Linked DNA regions of Alligator mississippiensis. The protein of the gene in region 1 purifies or fractionates together with the protein of each later gene. This does not show direct contact. Links are inferred from orthologs where the notes say so. Each region holds a gene or a part of one and is shown in the gene's direction. Other genes may lie near its edges.

Region 1 (10,011 bases):
TGGCTCCTTTCCCCCTTTTCCCTCGTAGTGAGATAGTCTCCCTCTGTGCCCAAAGGATCGCTTCCTTTAGAAACAACTACCCTTCCTGGACTCCCATCTTGTCAATACTCTTATCCTGCAGTGCAACATTGACTAGACTCCTGAGCACACTGAAGTTAGCCTTCCTGAAGTCAAGCACTTCCACCCAACTAGTTATCTTACTCACCCTATGCCATATAGTGAATTTGATTGATTAGTGCAATGACACTACAAAATTAGTTGAAAAAATGTTAAACTTCTAATTTGGTAGCATTCTATATCCACTTTGCACTGAGACTACATGAGATGCAAAGCAAGGCTCAACAGGACCATTAATGTACTGCCATTTTATAAAGTGCATCAACATTTTGTTTTCTAGAGCAGGGGCTCCCGAACTGTGGTACACATGCTCCTGGGGGTATGCAAGACATCTCTGCGGGATATGCGGGAGAAATTGCGTAATGGTGGATTTAATTTTCATAATAATAGGCATTTAAGATGTTAAAATATAAAATGTATTCTGGTAGGGGTATGCAGGCAACTGGTAAATCTGGAAACGGGTACGCAATATGAAAGAGTTTGGGAACCTTTGTTCTAGAGCATTTCAACTAGCAACACCCAGTTGTGAATGGTTCTGGGGCCACATAATCAGTCTGTATTAAACTAAGTCAGGGGTGTTAAGTGTGTTTGCCCCTCCTCCCCTGAGCAGATTTGGCCAACAAACCATGTTTGACATCCTTGCCCTAACTGAAGTCAGCAAATATGCTCTGTTTTTAGACGACAACCCCCCCCCCCCCCCCCCCCCCCCCATCATTTGACTGCATGTGTTGCATTAGGGTAGTTACATTATTTCTGGCTCCAGGAAAGGTATATCCAATGCGCGCACACAACCAATTTAAACATGTTCAGTAAGAAGTCACAGGTGATAACTTGAAAGGCCACAATCTGTGAGTTATTAGCAGGAATCCTGTTTTTTCTGATTTAAAAATATCCCCAATTTTTTATTTAAAAAAAGTAACCCCAACTCCACATTTTTCCATGATTTAAATGAAACACCACATTTATATATGTGTGTGTGTGCGCGCGTATGTATGTAGATATAAACCAAAAATTGGGGATTTTTTTTTTAAATCAGAGAAAACCAGGATTCCTGGTTATTAGTATCATTGTGAACTGGTAAGCTCATGTAGACATCAGTTCAACCTGACTCACGTTTTCATGTGACTATTACAGAATGTTTAAAATATTTTTCCTTCGACAACTGATGCAGTTGACTTCATGTGTTTATATTTTCTTGAACAGTAAAACAACACTGAGGAGTTTTACTTTCTGGTTCTCCAACAGTAACACAGTACCATTGTGTTTGGATTTTCAGCATTGCAGCAGAATGTTTCAACTTGAAAAATAAATAAATCTTATTCTTAGGCAAAGTGTCAAAGAAGTTTATAAAACCATTTTAAGTCTTCATGGGTTTAGTATGCAACTTGGCACTTTTTTCTCTATTTTGCAAGATAGAAAAAAAGGTATGAAGCTTTAAGACCTCTCAACCAAAATTCACTCAAGTCATAGGCAACTGGTAGGAAGTGCACATGCCCCCCTTACGGAGTGGTGCCCCCTCTGACAGCTGACACTGATACTGTCGGCTGATACTTCTGTGGGTGCCCCCACCAGATTCAGGAGGCACCAGTTACTCATGACTCAAGTGAAATGGTTTGGGTTTGTAAAGAATGCAGGATTCAGTTAGTACTACTGTAATCCTACCTGTATCCCATACTTAAAAGCAAGCACGCATATAAATGTCTGAAGAAGCAGGATCTATGAAACTTTAGCTATATCTAGGAACTGCCTATCAACTTTTTCGCATGCTCATCCTGCTACCCCTCAAAGATTCTCTAAGAAGCTGAATGACTCTTACTGTCTGTCACAGTCCATGATTACAGAAAGTTCCTTCAATTAAACTGCTGAGACTCAGTAATAAGATATATTTTCTGAGAATGATTCATATTGACCACCTCATCTATGCTTAATTATTCACACAGCGCTCTCTAAACTCACAAAGTTCTGTCCTGGCTTGCAGTGAGATTAATATAAAATCTGTAAAGAGGATTGTCTGGGCACAGGCCAAGGCTGGATCAACATATAAGCATAACGCCTTGTGAGGACAAGCAACTTGCCACAGCCTGAGTCACAGAGTGAGACCAGAATCTCAACTTTCACTTCAGAAAATTCTCTAAGCCTCATGGATAAAAAGAAAACATGAACCGAGTGTAACTGATGCCAGCTTGCATCTGCAGACAGCCTGAAACAAGTTGAAGATTATACCATTTATTTTAAGTCTGAAGCCTGCTACCCAGTTTGGTAATGCTAAAGACCATCTAAACTTGCCTGTATTTTAAACACAGTTGTAGCAATATTCCTCAATTATGTGATAAAGCTGATTATGCTATTGTTTTACTTTAATATGTTATTTGTAATATATCAACTTTTTGGAGGAAGGATGGAGAGACTGGTTGGGGACCTAGGGAGTGACAGAATGAATGGGGAGAGTCGCAGACCAGAACACATACAATTGCACTTGCAAGGTGTAAATGTTTTGTTTTAATTTATCACATGGTTTACATTTTGCCCAAATAACTCTCAGACAAATGCTGGAAACAATACCCAGCAGAAATAAATTATTCCTTACCATTCCTTAGGATCTCACTTTTGCTTATTTTACTCCAGTTTGGTGAAGCACTTCTATTCCTGCAAACTTCCAATTCTCTAACCCCATTTCAAAACCTCTCTCTCTCTCTCAGTTGCATTCTTTTCCCCACCCCTTACTCCATGTATTTGCCTTAGAATAATGTGGTTGTTTGGTATTTGGTTATGCACAGCACAGAAGGCTTGCACTGAGGTAGAAAAGGGCCTCTTGGGAAAGGAAGGAAGGAAGAGAGGCTCCAAACATATTATGGGTTAATAGGCTGGGTCACACCCATATGCACACAAAGGGTTCCGGGTATGTTCTGTTTTGGTCTTACCCTACCCCCAAAGAGCTGCCTCTTTCTCTCTTAAGTCAGGTGTTTTAAAGCTGCTGTCTTAGTTGAAGAGCAACTGAAACACACTCCAAGTGCAGGCATTAGCACCCTAGGTGGTGAACCTGGCTCTCATTATGCTTGTGACACTAACATTTTGCCGAAGTAACAGAACACATAGCCTACATGACATAAGCCTGCCAACACATCACCCCAGGAAGGTAGGGAAACCACCAGCCAATTGCACTACCCAAGGCCCAGGAAAAAGCTGTGGAAAGGGGCAAGACATCACCCAATAGACTCCTTCATGGAAGAACCTCCAAATCATACCAATTCAATTCTGCAGATGCTTCCTCAGCCCGATGAAGGGTATTTGTGCCCAAAAGCTTGCTAAGAAGACTGTTTCCTACTATTTGAGTTGGTCTAATAAAAGATATTGGATGAGCCTTGTCTGCCTATGTCCTTAGACCAACACGGCTACAACCTATACCCCTGAACCAATTCAAATGAACACTCCCTAGGGCAACCAAATCCCCTACTTTAGAGCAATGAATCAGTCCCCAGTACCTCTTCATAATGCTCTTTTCCAGGCCAAATGCAGGTAGCCTGCTGCTCAGCCTTCTCTCCTTAGATCTTGGTCTCTCTACACTTCCTAGCTAGCAATGTGTCACTGACAGTATCCTCAACTCAGGCCTGATGTTGGTGGGAGCCTAAAAGATTCTGAACCCTTCCCCCAGGTAGCTCAGACAGGAGCATTTATGCTGCTGGGTAATTCTTCACTCTTCTCTGCAAGCCCTGGAGACCTTCCTGCTTGGGACGAAGATGCTGGGAGAATCCACTCTGTACTGGGCCCAGCAAGCAAGCTACATGCAGTCCTCAGACTTACCACACAATTGGTTCCTGAAAACTATGTTTTAAGTTGAAATGTAACTTGGAACCAATTTTCTCATAAGAAACATAAATGGGAGATTGGTTCCTGAAACAAGGCCCGATAGCCTATTTTCACTAAAAAATACCCCAGAATTTTGTACTCGATCAATTATAGATGAGTAATATAGCTACATTAATGTATTTATATTGTAAATAGCCATCATATTGGTTTGGTAGGAATTCTTTGAGGTGACTTTGCTGGACTTTTTGAAAAGCTCTTGGTTGGACTTTTTGAAGGGTTCTTGGCTGAAGTCTTCTCAGGAGTCTTGGCTGCAGGTTTTTCTGGAATCTTGTCTGCTTTCTTAAAGAAAGTGTCCAAGGCAGTTTGGACAGATGTTCTCCAGGGAGATGAGCGACGCAGTGAACTTGTTTGCTGGCGTGGAGTCGCATGGAATCAAGCATTGTAAAGTCAAACAATGCTTGGTGTCAACAGGGTGTCAATTTATAAACGTTGTATGTGCGAAACGTTGTAATTCGAAATGCTGTAAGTTGAGGACTGCCTGTACTTCCTTTTTCCAGAGCATGTTAGAACATGGCAGGTTAAAAGAAACACTCCGGTGGTGCTGCCAAACTACTAGCAAGAGACAGCTAAGAACCCCCCTGAGGAGAGGAGCCTGGGGTTGGAAAATTTAGAAAGACCAGCCTTGCACAACCAATTTTTTTGTTTTTTCCTTTTAAGATTGCTCTTAATGGGGCCAGGCCTCCATGTGAGATTAATTGCTCTTTACTCAGGTGGGCCAGTGCAATCCTGACATCGTGCATTGTGCTTGCACAAGGTGCTGAAACAAATCCAAGCTTTCTTTTACTCTGGAGAAACTTAAGTCTGGTTTCAAATGTCATGGTGAAGACCCCATCCCAGTGCTTCACAGGCAGCAGGGGCCAGTTAGCCAGCCAAAAAAAACCCTCCCTGGAGTAAAGCCAGGCCGTGTTGCCAGGTTATTCTCACGTCAGACACTAGCTTGCTCTTCACTTGCTGAAACCCAAGCTGGACCCTTCCCTTTTAAAATATGTGGTTGGCACAAAGGAGAAACAACCACAGCGGCACCGAAGATAAAGAAAGGTCTGACACTGTGTGAGATGCATGTCTTTAGCCAGGGGGAAACTTTTCCAGAAATTCTGCTCTGTGATTCAGCGTTGTTTTATGTCGGCAGCTGCGAGGGCCAGACAGAAACCTGAGACCATCTCAAAAGGAACCAAATCACTACTGTGGTCGAGGTGATATCTTTTATTAGACCATCAGGATTTTTACAAAAACTAGTTGGTCTAATAAAAGGGATCGCCTCTACCACGAGTCCTGATCGCTTTTGCCTCTACACCCATATGGCTACAGCCTGGATACCTGACACATCAAACAGAACCAGGCCCCTGGCGCCCTTGAGAAAACCCCGAGGGGATCAGAAAAGCTACGAAATGGCCAGGCCTTGTCCTGCAGAAGAAGGGGAAGAGCAAGACACAGGCACTGAAACGTGAAACACGAAAGGGCTGCAAAGGAAGGCCAGAAAGGGCCCCACACACACACACACACACACACACACACACACACACGCTGGAAAAGCCCCTTTGAGGCGCAGCGACAGGCCCAGGCACTGCGCTGCGCTGCGCGACCCCTCCCCCACCGCCCGCCCGGCTCGGCTCGGCTCGGCTCAGGGCCTCGGAAGGGGGCGGGGCCTGGAGAGCGAGGCCTAGAGGGCGGGGCGCGCGGCGGGAGGTTCCGGCGTCGCGGCGCGGTGACGCGTGCGTCGGCGGGTGACGTCGCGGCGGCTTGCGTCCGATCCCGGTGCTGCCCTCGCCGCCCCTCGGCCTGACCCGGCTCGTGCCCGCGATGGCGAACGTGGCCGACACGAAGCTCTACGACATCCTGGGCGTCCCGCCCGGCGCCTCCGACAACGAGCTGAAGAAGGTAGCGCGGGGGCCTGGAGGGGGAGGGCGCCGCGGCCCAGGAGGCCCGGGCAGGCGGCGAGGCCGCGGGCGCGCGGGGCAGGCCGGGAAGGCCGCGCCGGTTGGGCCCGGCCGCGGGGGGAGGGGAGGCGCGGCGCGGCGCGGAGGCTTCGGGCCTCGGTGCGGGGGCGGCCACCGTGACTGTGCGCTTGGCCGGCGGCGCCAGGCCCGGCCGGTGCTGGGGCCTGTCCTGGTGCCGCCCCCGCCCCGTGCCGCTGGTGGGGCCGGGAACAAAGAGATCGCGGGGAGCCCGGCGGCCCCCTCCAGCACCCGCGGTGCCGGGCCCGGAGCCGGCTCAGCTCATGGCCGCTGCTTGCTCGTGGCGCTGGGCCCTGGCGGCTGCGCCGGTTCAGGACTTTGGATCCCGCCATGGGGGGGGGTGAGGGTCAGCAGAAGTTGGTCGTCGGTCAGAACCGGGAGCGACAGGCAGGGAAAGGGCGGCCGGAGGCCCCTCCCCGCCGTGGAGGTGCAGCTCTTCTCTGACCAGCGACCCGGGCTGGCTCCGAGCCTGGCTCAGCTTTTGCCAGAACTGGGGATGAAGTTGCCAGCTCCCCGCACCTGTTTGCCGAGGGGTCACTCAGATTCGGGGCTGCGTGTGGACCTTAGAAACGTGCCTGCAAGTTTGTTTTTAAATGCAGTTGTGCCTTCGCGTGCGTGCCGGTCTGTTCTGGTGGCAGCTTTGTACAGCAGCACGGAGACGAGTGAAAGAAAATGGACTCGCTGCGGATTTATCATGATGCTGATGGGACGACGCAAACTCCGAATATTGCGCTGATCCAGCTTATTCACTCTTATCTCCTAATAAAATACTAATGCAGGCACTGGTTCTAGAAGTGAGAAATGGCACTAAAGTAACTCTGTTTATTTAAATGAAGTTGGGGGGGAGGGAAAAACCCTTGTGCTTAACACCACAGTAAGTGTGTCCGTTCTGGGGGGGTTGCTAGTATACCTGTTAACTTCCTTGTGTAACGTCCCCAAGGCTGCGGGATTCTGCCATTGCTGGCTCCTGTGGTGGATTCTGAAATTCTTGTTCTATAAATCCATCTCTCTGTTTTGTTTTGCCCTTTTTGCATGCATAAATCCCCAATAGTGTAGCAAACTAATAAAAATGGAACTATAGAGTAACAGGGCAACTCTCTACACAAAATGGAGGAAGATGGAAGCTCTAAGGTTTTTCTTTCTTTTCTTAAATAAAAATGAATACAATTGAGAGGTAGTAGTCTAGAGAAACAGTTTAATCTAAATGCTCTAAACTCTAGAGACTTGAATGCAGTCCTGTAAAATGGGAAATCGGTAGTTGACCCCATAAGATATATAGCACACACTTGAGCATAGCAGCTCTTAGAATGATGATGGGAAGTACCATTCAAGTTGATAAATGATTTACTGTTATATTCAACAGTATATAAACCCCCTTGAAATGCCTTGCTTTTTCTTGCCTTTTGGGGGGATGAGGGGGGAGTTTAGAATATGCTGAAAAAGTCAAGGATGCCTGAATTTCTGAGCCTTGTCTCTACCCTTCAGGGATTTAACTTGTAGTTTATGGTGAAGGGCTTTTTCAAGTAACTGTAATAATTGATTGAAAACTTTCTTAACAAAACTTTACCTCACTCCCCTAAAATGGTAGTGGTAGGGCATGCAAAGTGATGACTAAATAGTATAGAGAAAATAATGCCACTCGGAACGTGATTCAAAAGGAAAGAAGCCATTTGAAAATTGTCTTATTTTTTACATGACTTCCTCCTGCTACTGCTGTTTCCAGTCAGGAATTGATCAAGATGGGAAGGCGCACATACTTCCATACATTTAATATACACTTAATTCAGAGTGAGGCTAAATCTTCTGTGGGTGTTATGTGGTGAGGGAGGGAGGAAAAAACTGAAGATGGTGTTGATTGGGAAGCTGAAGCAGCCATTTTGTAAACATTGATGGACTCTTAAAGACAGTGACAAATTGGGACATAACTTGCATACATGATCGTTTAATAAGTGATAAACTGTGAATCTGTAACCTCTAACTAATGATGCTTATGAGCTGTTCATATTCAGAAATAATTACATGGTTGCGTGTCAGTACTGAATATTGTTGACAGAGTTTAATTTCAGTGTAATATGTAAACTAGAATCAACAAGGATGGTGATTTTAAATTCTAATGCATAGCAGTCTACTTAATTCGCGGCAAGACAAAGCAGTTTTCGTGGCTTGGTTGCCGCACAAAGGCCATTTTGTGGGCATTTCCCAGCAGCCCCGCCCCTCGCAGCTGATTGACAGAGAGGCATATTTACTTTGTGTATGTCAGTAGCAGACAGTAACTCTCAGTCACTGATTTATGTCTGCAGTGATTGTTGCGTTGTCTTTGTATTGGGGAAGGCATTGGGACATTCTAAAACAGTGTGTATATATAAATAATACAGTGGGGCTTTTTAGGTTGATTTCATGGGAAATTGTGCCAATGCAGAATTTCCTGCTGTTTTTGAACAGTGCTGTTTTTTGTGGATTCCACAAAAACCAAGAATTAGGTAGACCCCTAATTAATGATGGGAGCCAATTTTAAACCATAGTTAATCCTGCATTCAGTAAAATTAAATCATCAAACTCTCATATATAACTTTGGTTGTATAAACAGGCTAAACTTCTGTTTGTTTTAATCCACCGTTTCTCAAAGTGGGTCACAAGAATATTTGAAAGGGTCATGAACAAACTTTTAAAAATGGAGAAAAACACGGGAACCATGGCTTTTCCCTTGCAATCTGGCAAGGTTCCAGCGAATGAGGAGGGGCCCAAGCATCTACCATGTCCCACACGCACCCACTCCTGCCCCATATACTGGAGGGCAGGGGAGCAGTGGGTCAGGAGTGAGGGGCACTGGGTCAGGACTGGCCATAGATGTTTACAAATGGGTTCCAGTACAAAAAAGTTTGAGAAGCACTGTCAGTACCGGTGGGAAGTGTTTACCTACTTCCAGGAAGCAATATTTAAATCTGTCTTTGAAGACTAGAGATTTGTTGACCTAAATAAGCTTGAAATGAGAAATGGTCACACTAATAGCTTGTGTCATTTTTCCACCCCCAATTAGGCCTACAGAAAACTGGCCAAGGAATATCATCCTGACAAGAATCCAAATGCGGGGGACAAAGTAAGATAATGATGTTTAAAACTAAGTTGTTGTTTTTTTGGTTGTTTTTTTTTTTTTATGCTTCTAGATGTGATGGAAGTACAAGGGTTTCTGAGACCTGCTACTTTAGAAGCTTTATAGATTTTTTTTTTTTTTTACAGTCTGTTCCGTAGAGATACCTGTTTTAGTTGTGACAAAATGGAGACAAAGGCGGTAAGACAAGATGATAGTGAAGCAAAGTTACTGTACAGTATGAAAAGGGCCTTTGCTCACTGCTTGTTGAGGTGACATCAGCTGGTAATACTTTGAGGCACTACTTGGAGGTGGGAGAGATTTGAAGGGTGGTGGTAAGATATGCAAAATGGTTGCCTTTCCAGGATTATATCATTTCATTGAAGATGTTAAGTGTGGGGATTTTGTAGACAATTCAGCCAGTGTAATCAAAGTAAAATAATTTTAGCTTTGATAGATGTATTGAAATAAATTTAAGTGTGATGTTCAAAGCGAACACATAGTAAGTCTGCATGTTTTAGAACTCGGAATACAAGCTCTGAAATGGCGTGGTGACCAAATGTTTTGGAATATGTGTCCACACCCTTGCTCAGAGCTAAACTCTGAATTGTGTACTAGCACCGTCTTGGTAAAGGTATTGGAAAAAGATCTATCTATGCATGTAAAAGTAACATGGCACTTTCTCGCTGTTCCTTTTTTAGTTCAAAGAAATAAGCTTTGCCTATGAAGTTTTATCGAATCCAGAGAAACGCGAGTTATATGACCGATATGGAGAACAGGGGCTTCGAGAAGGTAGTGGCGGAAGTGGTGGAATGGACGATATTTTCTCCCACATTTTTGGTGGTGGATTGTTCAATTTCATGGGTGGTCAGAGTAGAAGTCGCAATGGCAGAAGAAGAGGAGAAGATATGATGCATCCACTTAAGTGAGTATCTTGCTACTGTGATGCTTGCTTCAGCCTCTAAAAGGTTGAAGGAGGAGCTG
Region 2 (9,270 bases), on another chromosome or scaffold:
CACAAATACTGACATCTGAGCTCAGTCCAAAGCCTGTTTTCTCTCTCTCCGTCAGCACCTGGAATGGAGGAGGGGAAGCCCGGTTCTGATCAAGTCCCATTCACTTCAGTGAGACCAGGATGTCCCCTGACTCACGGAGTCTGGCTTGTGCTCTGATCTGACCCGTTCGGTACTGCAGGGTCATTTCCTGTGGCGCTCCCAGCTCCCACTGAGGTGACGAGGTGCTGGGGGTGGGAAGCACATCTAGGAACCACGTTCTTTTTGTGTGATGGCAATGCTCTATGACACTTTAAAGCTGTAACTTCCTGTCACCTCCTCCTCTGGTTAGAAGCCTTAATTTCAATTCCCTCCTTTCTCCCACTGATGCACTTTGACCTGAATATTTGCCATGGAAAGTATCAGCTCAGAGAATGATTTTGTCTGGCAAGTTTGACGGGCTTTGGCCAAACTGTTTTCAAGTTACAGGAGAGTGAAGCAGAACCATTATCTTCCCATGCACACGCACTTTTAGAAACAGCTTGGCAGTCTGAGTTTGCTGTCGTACCAGGAGCAAGGCCCGATGTAAACATCTGCTGAATAACAGTTAAGTTAGGAAGTGATTTTATGCCTTAGCTGAGGAATCTGTGATCAGAGTCTGAGTGGAAGACACATGCCAGGCCAGCTCTCAGTAATGTCCAATTTTTTTCCACTAAGTCCCATTCTCAGATTAACTTTACCATCCTGTGACACTCAGCTCGGTGAGCAGGAGACACCTGTGAAAGCAACTGCAGAATCAGCATGCCACGCGTGATGAAAGAGCTGACCACTTGGCAGTTATTTCATACAGCATTTCTGTGATCAGCTCAACAATGTCTGCGTTGCCGATGATGGGGCGGAAGAAGAGGTCTGTGATGAGGGCAGGAGAGATGGACTTCAGGGTGGAGGCCATCAGCAAGATGCGGGCAAAGCGGCCCTGGTCCTCTGGGTGGAGCGGTCCTACAACTTCCTGCAGCGCTCTCTGTGCTTCCCGCTGGAGGCTCTCTATGTACAAGGAGGCCCTTAAACCTGGGACGTCTAGGGAGAGAGAAAGGAGGAACAATTGAAATGTGAATTACGGGCTCTGCTTCCCAGCCTAAGCACCAATCTCAATCCCACTCACTGGCACTTGACTTCCTCTCTGGAATATTTTGGCATATTCCTGCTGCTGCAATCAAGCTTAATTTCTTTCTACTGAGCACACGCATGTGAACAGACAGAAACACACACACCTTAACCATCTATAGCACAGAGACCCTAAAGTACTTCATAAACCATGCAAGGCAGCACCACTGAGATGCAGCCACTTCTGGGGTGGAAGGAGCTCTTTACTACCGTGCAGCATAACCATGGAAGAGAAATACTGACCGGTGAAACCAGGGACAACTCCAGCTTTCCAAATTGTGCCCTGGGATCTTTACTGTCTACGGTCTTATTCAAAATATTTCCCCAAAGCATATGGCAAGGGACTGATTTCCAGAAGTCAGTGGGAATTAAGGATGCTTAGCACCTCTGAAATTAGCCTCTACAACAGTCTGGGCCTCGGTCTACCTGTCTGTAAAATGGGGCTACTCTTCCTACTTTTGAGCTACTGGAATGAAAAGTGTGAAATGTTAACATTATGGATTAATGACATTAAGATAATCCTCCCCATTGCTCACGTGTGTATGTGCGTGCGTGCGCGCACACACACACACACACGTACACGCGTGCTTTCAAGCAGCCCAGACCAGATTCTCTGTGTAGTACCCTCTGCCCTGCTGAGAGCACTCACCAGGGTTGAAAAGAATGGCTCCTTTCAGGTAGGCATACTCCTTAGGGCTCAGGTCCAGGCTCCAGAACGTGTTCAGGCAGCACTGCAGCCGCTGCACCCCGGCTAGGGTGGGTTGTGTCCTCTCAAGCTCCTGCCTCTTGCTCTGGCCATTGAGGAGAATGTTCTTGAGCATGCTGGGGGCCGGGGTCTCCATCACGTCGAATGTCACCATCTCTTGAACCAACCCCAGAATGAAGAGAGGAGCCCAGCAACTGTCCAGCAGGAGGAGCTGGTCCTCCCGGGGCAGCAGCTGGAAGGAGGGCAGGTTCTTCATGAAGCTGACTGTTTTCACCAGGACATCAGAGGCCGCCTGGCAGGTGACCTGGGGTGTCTGGAGGCAGACGGTGCGACGCTTCTGGCACCGGCAGCGCTGCTGGGATGGGCTATGATTGTGGTTCAGGTTTTGGCTCAGGAGGGTATAGAGGATGGCGTTCCGGTTCTCTTCGCTGTGGCACTGGCATCTCTCATAGTCCACGTCCATGCTGCCTGCACTCAGAGCTCTGCCCACCAAGCAGATCCCACTGACTCTGAAGGAGGAGGTGATCTGGGTGCACTTGACAGGCTGAGTCTGTGAGCACAACCGCGAACTCCTGTGCCCGTCAAAGCTCTCCGACTGCAGCCTCTTCCACTGAGCTCAGCTGCCTCAACCCTCTGGCTGCTACGCTCAGTGGTATTTATAAGGCGCTGGCGGTGAGTGGAACACCCCCTTCCACCCTTGACCTCTCTTTGACAAAGCAGCATTCATTAAAAAACAAGTTGACTCTCGCCTGATTGGCTGGGGAAGCGAGTTCTTCATGTGGCGTCAAGAAGTGTTTTCTCAATGAAAGTGCCAGCCAGGGCCAGGAGGACGGGACAGAATGGCAGGCTGGGCAGCTGGCTTATCTCGGTTGTCCAAACAGGATAAACAATGTCGATAACCCAGCCTGTACCATGGTACCAAGGCCCCGATGCGTAATCAGGCAGTACTGTATGACAGGTGTCATTGCCAAGGAGCGCGCACATGCACACACAGCACTTGTCTGGAGCAGGAGCCCGGTGGCAAACAACCTGTAGGCTCTGGCCTTGGAAAGAGCAACCTGGAAGTCATGTTATCAGCAGGTTGTTTGTCTAACCTTGTTGACAGCAGGCTGCTGTCGTTACAGATAACGAAAAGAAACCCAACGGACTGAGGGCATCTGGTTCTCGGATCAAGGCTGGGACCTGGGGTACCTGGTGTCAGAAAAACACGGGGGGGTTTGAGAATCAGATTTCATTAAACCAACATCTCGAGAGAGCCTCTCCCTTCCCTTCTCTTGGTGGTGGATGGTTCCTTCTCGGCCTGGAGGGAGGTGGGCAGTGGGGTCCCGCAGGGTTCGGTCCTCAGACCGGTATTATTTAATATCTTCATCAGCGATTTGGATGAGGGCGTGGAGAGCACCCTCTCCAAGTTTGCTGATGATACCAAGTTATGGGGCAAAGTTAGTACACCGGAGGGGAGGGAGCAGATTCAGGCTGACCTGGACAGGTTGGAGCAATGGGCAGAGAGAAATAGGATGCAATTTAATAAAAATAAATGTAAGGTGCTCCACCTGGGAAGGAGGAACCCCCAGCACACCTGTAGGTTGGGGAGTGTCCTTCTCAGCAGCTCGGAGGCAGAGAGGGATCTTGGAGTCGTAATCGACTCCAAGATGAACGTGAGCCGGCAGTGTAACGAGGCCATCCACAAGGCCAGTCGCACCTTGTCGTGCATTAGCAGGTGCATGACTGACAGATCAAAGGAGGTGACGCTCCCCCTCTACGTGGCACTGGTCAGGCAGCAGTTGCAGTGCTGTGTCCAGTTTTGGGCGCCGCACTTCAGGAGGGACGCGGGGAATCTGGAGAGATCGAGAGGAGGCCACTCGCATGATTCGTGGCCTTCGGGAAAGACCCTACGGGGGAGGTCGAGAGAGCTGAATCTCTTCAGCCTTCACAAGGGACAGCTGAGGGGAGACCTTGTGGCCGCCTATAAATTTATTAGGAGAGGTCAACAGGGGATAGGGGAAGCGCTGTTTACTAGGGCGCCCCAGGGAGTGACTAGGAATAAGGGGTGTAAACTAGTTGAGAGTGGATTTAGGTTAGATATTAGGAAGACATTTTTCACAGTCAGGGTGGCCAGGATCTGGAACGGGATCCCAAGAGAGGTGGTGCTATCACCTAGCTTGGAGATCTTCACGAGGAGGATATAGTCACCTGGCTAGGGTCGTCTGCCCTCGGCCCTCTTTCCTGCCAGGGGCAGGGGTCGGACGTGATGATCCACTGTGGTCCCTTCCGACTCTGCAATCTATGAATCTATGGAACACGGGGGGGACACGGGACTGAGTCCGTGGCTCCCAGCCCCGCTGCCTGCAGCCCGTCTCCATCCTCTCCGTGCGTCGCCTTTCAGGTAGTTGAAGCCGCCATCGAATCCCGCTTCAGCCTTCTCTTCTGCCGGCCCACTGCTTTCAGCTGCTCTGGGCCGTGGCGTTCGCGTCGCAATGCGCCGCACCCCGCCGGATCTATCCCGCGCCGTCTTCTTGCGCTGCGGAGCCGCCCAGGCGGGAGAGCAAGGGAGGAATTGTGTGGGAGAAGGTGGGGGGGGTCCTTCCCCTCCCCACAACCCTGCGCTGCTAGGGGTGACCTCTCCCTCTGTGACCCCTGACCTCCAGGCAAGGCTGTGACCCCATCACTCGTGTCACCCCCTTCCCCCACGAATCCTTTCAACCATCCCTTTAAAGGCCTAACCCAGCCGCGACCCCTGCCCTCCGACGCCCAACGGGCCACGCGGAGCCTTCTGGAAGGCGCGAGACGGCGCCGGTCTCTATAGCAACCAGCGCCGCGCGCCTGTGCCGCGCTAAGCGCCCGCCCTCCTCCCCCCCCCGTCTGCGGATTGGGCGCGGCGGCGGCCAATCAACGAGGGGTCGCGGGAGGAATGCGGCGCGTTGATTGGTGGGGGAGCCCGTTTCCGCTTCCGGGCGAGGGGTCGCGGGCAGCGGTTGCGGGTCGCCATGGGGCTGAGCGCGGAGGAGGTAGCGGAGCAGGAGGACCGCTTCGATGGCATGCTCCTGGCCATGGCGCAGCAGCACCCGGGCGGCGTGCGGGAGGTAGCGCCGGGCGGCCGGGGGGCGGGGGTCTTCCTCTTCCTCCTGCAGCCTCTAGGCCGTGCCCCTCGCCTCGGCGCCTGATGCCCCTTTCCGCCCGTACTTAACCTCGACTCCCCTTGCTGCAGCGGGAGCCCCCCGCTCCTTGCGCGTGTGCGGACAGTCCGGCTTCGCGCCCGTCGTGGGACGAGCGCCGGCGTGTCTCGAGGGGACTTGCTGGTTTTGCCAGCTGCTTCTACAGGCGTCGAGTGACGCAGTCTCAGCCCCGCCGCCGCCGCCAAACACGTCGTTTTCACGGGCTCTCAGAAGCACGAAGCACCGACTCCGGCGGAGCGAGTAAAGCAGAGGCTCCCGACCGCTAGGTCGCGGCGGGTCGGCTGCCGCGCTGGAGGTCCGGAAGCGACCGGCGTACCGTGGAGCGGCAGCCAATCCTCTTTTTAGATTGAGCCTAAAAAAGGGTCGGCTGTCGCTCCCCAGTACACCGGTCACTTCCGGTCCGTGGCTTGCCGGTCCGCAGCCTAAAAAAGTTGGGATGCCCTGGAGTAAAGCCCCTGAAGTACATAAGAAGGGTGCCCAAACGTTCCCGTCTGTGAAATGGGAACAAAGGCATCAACCTTTGCGAAGTGCCGTGGGATTTGTCCACGAAGAGACCGCACTTCATAAAGATCCAGAGGCCTTAAGCAGCTCGGGCCCCGTCTTCCGGGGTCGTTTTAGGAGCACCGAACATTCGTGACAGCGCCATGCCTGCGGCCCTCCCGGTGTTTGCCAGCAGTCCGTGCATTCCTTAATGTTGCAAATGTTTTCCTCCGTTTAACTCCCCGCGCTTAAAGGAGGCATCGGCGGTTGCGCTGGGAAAGCATTCGCACTTAAACGGGTTGTCACGTTAATTATTAGCATGGCGCCATTGGCGTGCGGGGGCTGAACAGCTATCCAAGAAAGGCGAGGGTCTCGCCTCGTGCTGCAGTTTAGGCAGCGTCCAGGCTGAGGGATGAAAAGCTCGCTGGTGAGTAGCGGTGTGGCGGGTGGCTCGTTTGCCACTCGGGTCCCTGAGCCTGGCCATGCTCTGGCTGTAGCCATGGTGGAAGGAAACTGTTGAAACACAAATGCGATGTCTCTGGCCCCTATAGAAGGGGTTTCTTTGCTGCTGATCCTCCCAATCAAACAGTTGCTGTGGCAACTGGTGCACAGCGCTTCAAGCAACCTAGGAGGATAAGGTATAGGAAGGCTAAGTCATTGTGGTTCTTGGGAATGAGTCTGCCCACACTGGCTATGGAAACGAATAGCAACACTATTTATACCAGCATTGCGCTGCTTCCAGCTGAGGTGTGGGCAGAGACCATCTTGGTGAGCACCACGTGCTCTGCTGTCTCCTCTAATCTAGTCCGTCAGAGCCAACTGATAAAAGTGGTTCTTTGTCTTCATGTCCCATGTATCTGGACCAGCATGCAATGCCGTTCTTCAGTTCGAGCTGCTACTTCTCTCTGTCCGTGGGCTCCCTGTGAAAACCTAATTAGAGGAAAAGGCCAAAAATGCTTCACCAAATCGTTGGAGCGACCATGTAAAGATTCTGCTAGATCAGCTGCTTGGAAGTAAGAACAAGGAAGCGAGAAGTTGTCTTCTCGGCTACCTGCTGAGTGAAGACTTGCTCATCGCAATACTGCTAAGATCTAGATTTGCTCCCTTTCCTTGTAGGCTCTCTTGCAGCTCAGACTCTTTAATTCAGGTCTCTTGACGTTACCTGTCTTCTTGTGTTTTTCTTTTTCCAGCTTGTGAACACGTTCTTCAGTTTCCTGAGACGGAAAACGGATTTCTTCACAGGTGGAGAAGACGGAGTGGCAGAGAAGGTAAAAAAACAACTAATCCTTCCCCCTCACAGACCCTTATGTGTCATTTTTATGTGCTCGGGCCCAGCTGTTCACGTCGAGATGCTTCCTGCCTCTGGCAGACATCTGACCTGTGTGCCACAAAGTGCTTTCTTCCTGTTGCCGTGTGGTATCTTCAAACTGTGCCCAATGTTTGCGATGCTGCAGAAATATACCAGTGAAACAAGGTAGGAGTGAGCTGCCCTTGTCCATGGCTGAGCTTGTTTGCTTGTCGAATAATATCAATGGTGAAGGTTTTTGTCACGCTGTGGCCAAAGGGTTGTTTGAAAAGCAAGCCTGCCAGACACACTGACTTAACGTTGACAGACACCGCGGGATCAATAACCCTAAGTTACCTTGTTTATTCATCTCAGAAAAGCACAAAGTCCGTCTCCCTGCCCATGCAGCTGCCCCTGTGCCTCTGAGTGCAGGGCTGATACAATCCAAATGTGTTGGGGGCACCGGAGGTGGTCAAAATAAGGAAAAGCCAGCAGCGTGTGATACACACTTGATGCTTTACAACCCCACCAGTGGGTGGCTTCAGAACATAGCTCAGGAAACATTGCCATGTCATATATAGAGGGAAAGCTTACAATTGCCAGTGCTGCATAGAATATACCTGCTGCCTAACCTGCAAGGGGAGGGAGATGGGGAAACCCCAACACAGAGCTAGGGTGAAAATGAGTGAAATCTGCAAAAGAGCTGCAAGAGTTTTTTTAGGAACAAATCTTCCCCATCTCACAGGGACAGGCATATATGTGTAGAATCAATGTGTGACGATGATTAGCACTGTATTTATAGAGCTTCTGCCGATTGGCACTCCAGAGCATAAGCAAGAGGAGCTTTGAGGCATTGGCTAGAGGCAGGGACTGACTGTCAGGATGCCTGGCTTCGGCTGTGCGCTACATAGGAGGGGATGGCTCCCTGCCCCAGTGCCCCCTCTGGAACTGGACTAGAATACTGGTTTTTGTAAAGTGCTTTGCAAGCCTCTGAACGAAGGACACTGAATACAAGCCCGTGCTGATTGTGTCTCTGTCAACACAGTCCCCCAGCTAGAGCTTGAAGAGGCCATTTATTCTCTCCCACTTCCCCCTTCCCCTTTGGAACTCTTAACACAGCCCCTTGGGCCTGAAACATTTAATTGAATCTAGCAGGAGGGAAACCACCAGGCTGAACCACCTTTTGAGACTGGGGAAAGATTGTGGAAGGACTCCTATCCCCTTCCATTCTCCTCCCAACATGATGGACCTGCCTGGTATTTTTATGGCTCTTTGGAGACTTGCTTGTTCTCCCATGTTTGTAGGCAAAGGCTTCATAATCTCTTCTTCATCGTTGCAGTCTGCAGTCAGTGCTGTAACTAGCTGGGGGTTTGATTTCTGTAAGCTGCTCTGGGATAGTTCATCCTGAAAGGGGCTGATCATGTCCTTGGAACTTCTTTGAATTAATATCTTACTCCTTGGCATAAGAGATCTTCTTTTCCCTCCCATCTGGCTCCTGACCCTGGATAGTATCCTTCCTGTGGAAGCATTACCTTGATGCCTGTAGGAAGGCTGAGTTTCACTACGTGCTGTCTTGCACGGTACCTGTGGTATTATCAATAGCTGGGTTATTGCTCCAGGTTGGCCTCTTGCCTGTTTACTTAGCTCTGCCTCTGAACGCTACAGCCCTTTACATCGTAGACTTTGATGTTCTGCCTTTCACAGCTGTACCTGAGCCCTTGCGATACAAGAGACTTGAGATTGCTTGGAGAGAAGATTATATATGAATTTATTCCTCAATGATATCATTCATCTTTCAGCTGCCTCTCCTAGAAATTTTGGCAGGGGGATTTACAGAATGGACTGAACACACATTCTCTAGCACGTGGGGAAAGTTCAGGCTGACAAAGCCTTCCTTAATGTGCCTGGCTCGTGTCTGCATCCAGTTCATGAAAGCATGTTTCACTTGCATGACTTCTTCCATCTGGAGTTCTCAAAGGACTTGACAAGTCTGGCAGTTATCAAAGTCTTATGAGTCCCCTGATGAGTTAGGGTGGTGTTATCCCCCTTCTGCAGAGGAGCGAGGCACAGAGACCACATGAATAGCTTAAGATGCTACAATGAATTTCTGGCCCAGACCTGGGTCCGGAGCATCATCCTGCCATGTCCATCTGTGAACCGCAGTGGTTATATTCTGTCTGGCCTATCGTTTTGCATTCATTTTGCCCTGGTGTGAGTATGTGCACCACAGGAGTCCTTACTTCCTGGACTGGGTAGTGCGCTCTGCGTAAGTAAAACTGGGCAGGGAGTAAGCCTTGGACACTGAGTTTTCCCAAATATTCTGTCAAATGCTGGGGGGGAAAGGGGGGAAGGAAGGCAATAGCCTTACATGAGTACTGCTGAGGAACAGGTATGTGCCATGCAGCTGGGGGTTGGGAGCTGACTATCACCAGCCCCCATTTGGGTGCCTCTTTAAAAGTCAGCAGTCCCTGAGGGGGTCTTTGTTT

The links.
Region 2: the proteins of DNAJA2 (region 1) and NUDC purify together in Homo sapiens (affinity purification with mass spectrometry; 4 studies listed by BioGRID and IntAct, with this or other methods). This does not show direct contact. The link is inferred for Alligator mississippiensis from reciprocal best matches to the Homo sapiens genes DNAJA2 and NUDC.

The regions. Positions count from the first base shown.
Region 1 is NC_081833.1:55,127,644-55,137,654, forward strand, and holds the start of DNAJA2 (dnaJ homolog subfamily A member 2), read left to right. Parts: upstream 1-5,691; 5' UTR 5,692-5,784; coding exon 5,785-5,862; intron 5,863-6,233; exon of another isoform or gene 6,234-6,712; coding exon of another isoform or gene 6,713-6,733; intron 6,734-8,976; coding exon 8,977-9,036; intron 9,037-9,728; coding exon 9,729-9,952; intron 9,953-10,011. UniProt on the Homo sapiens protein: Co-chaperone of Hsc70. Stimulates ATP hydrolysis and the folding of unfolded proteins mediated by HSPA1A/B (in vitro).
Region 2 is NC_081829.1:2,773,379-2,782,648, reverse strand, and holds the start of NUDC (nuclear migration protein nudC), read left to right. Parts: upstream 1-4,786; 5' UTR 4,787-4,830; coding exon 4,831-4,926; intron 4,927-6,689; coding exon 6,690-6,767; intron 6,768-9,270. Other genes in the region: NR0B2 (nuclear receptor subfamily 0 group B member 2), read right to left, coding at 773-1,053, 1,790-2,309. UniProt on the Homo sapiens protein: Plays a role in neurogenesis and neuronal migration. Necessary for correct formation of mitotic spindles and chromosome separation during mitosis. Necessary for cytokinesis and cell proliferation.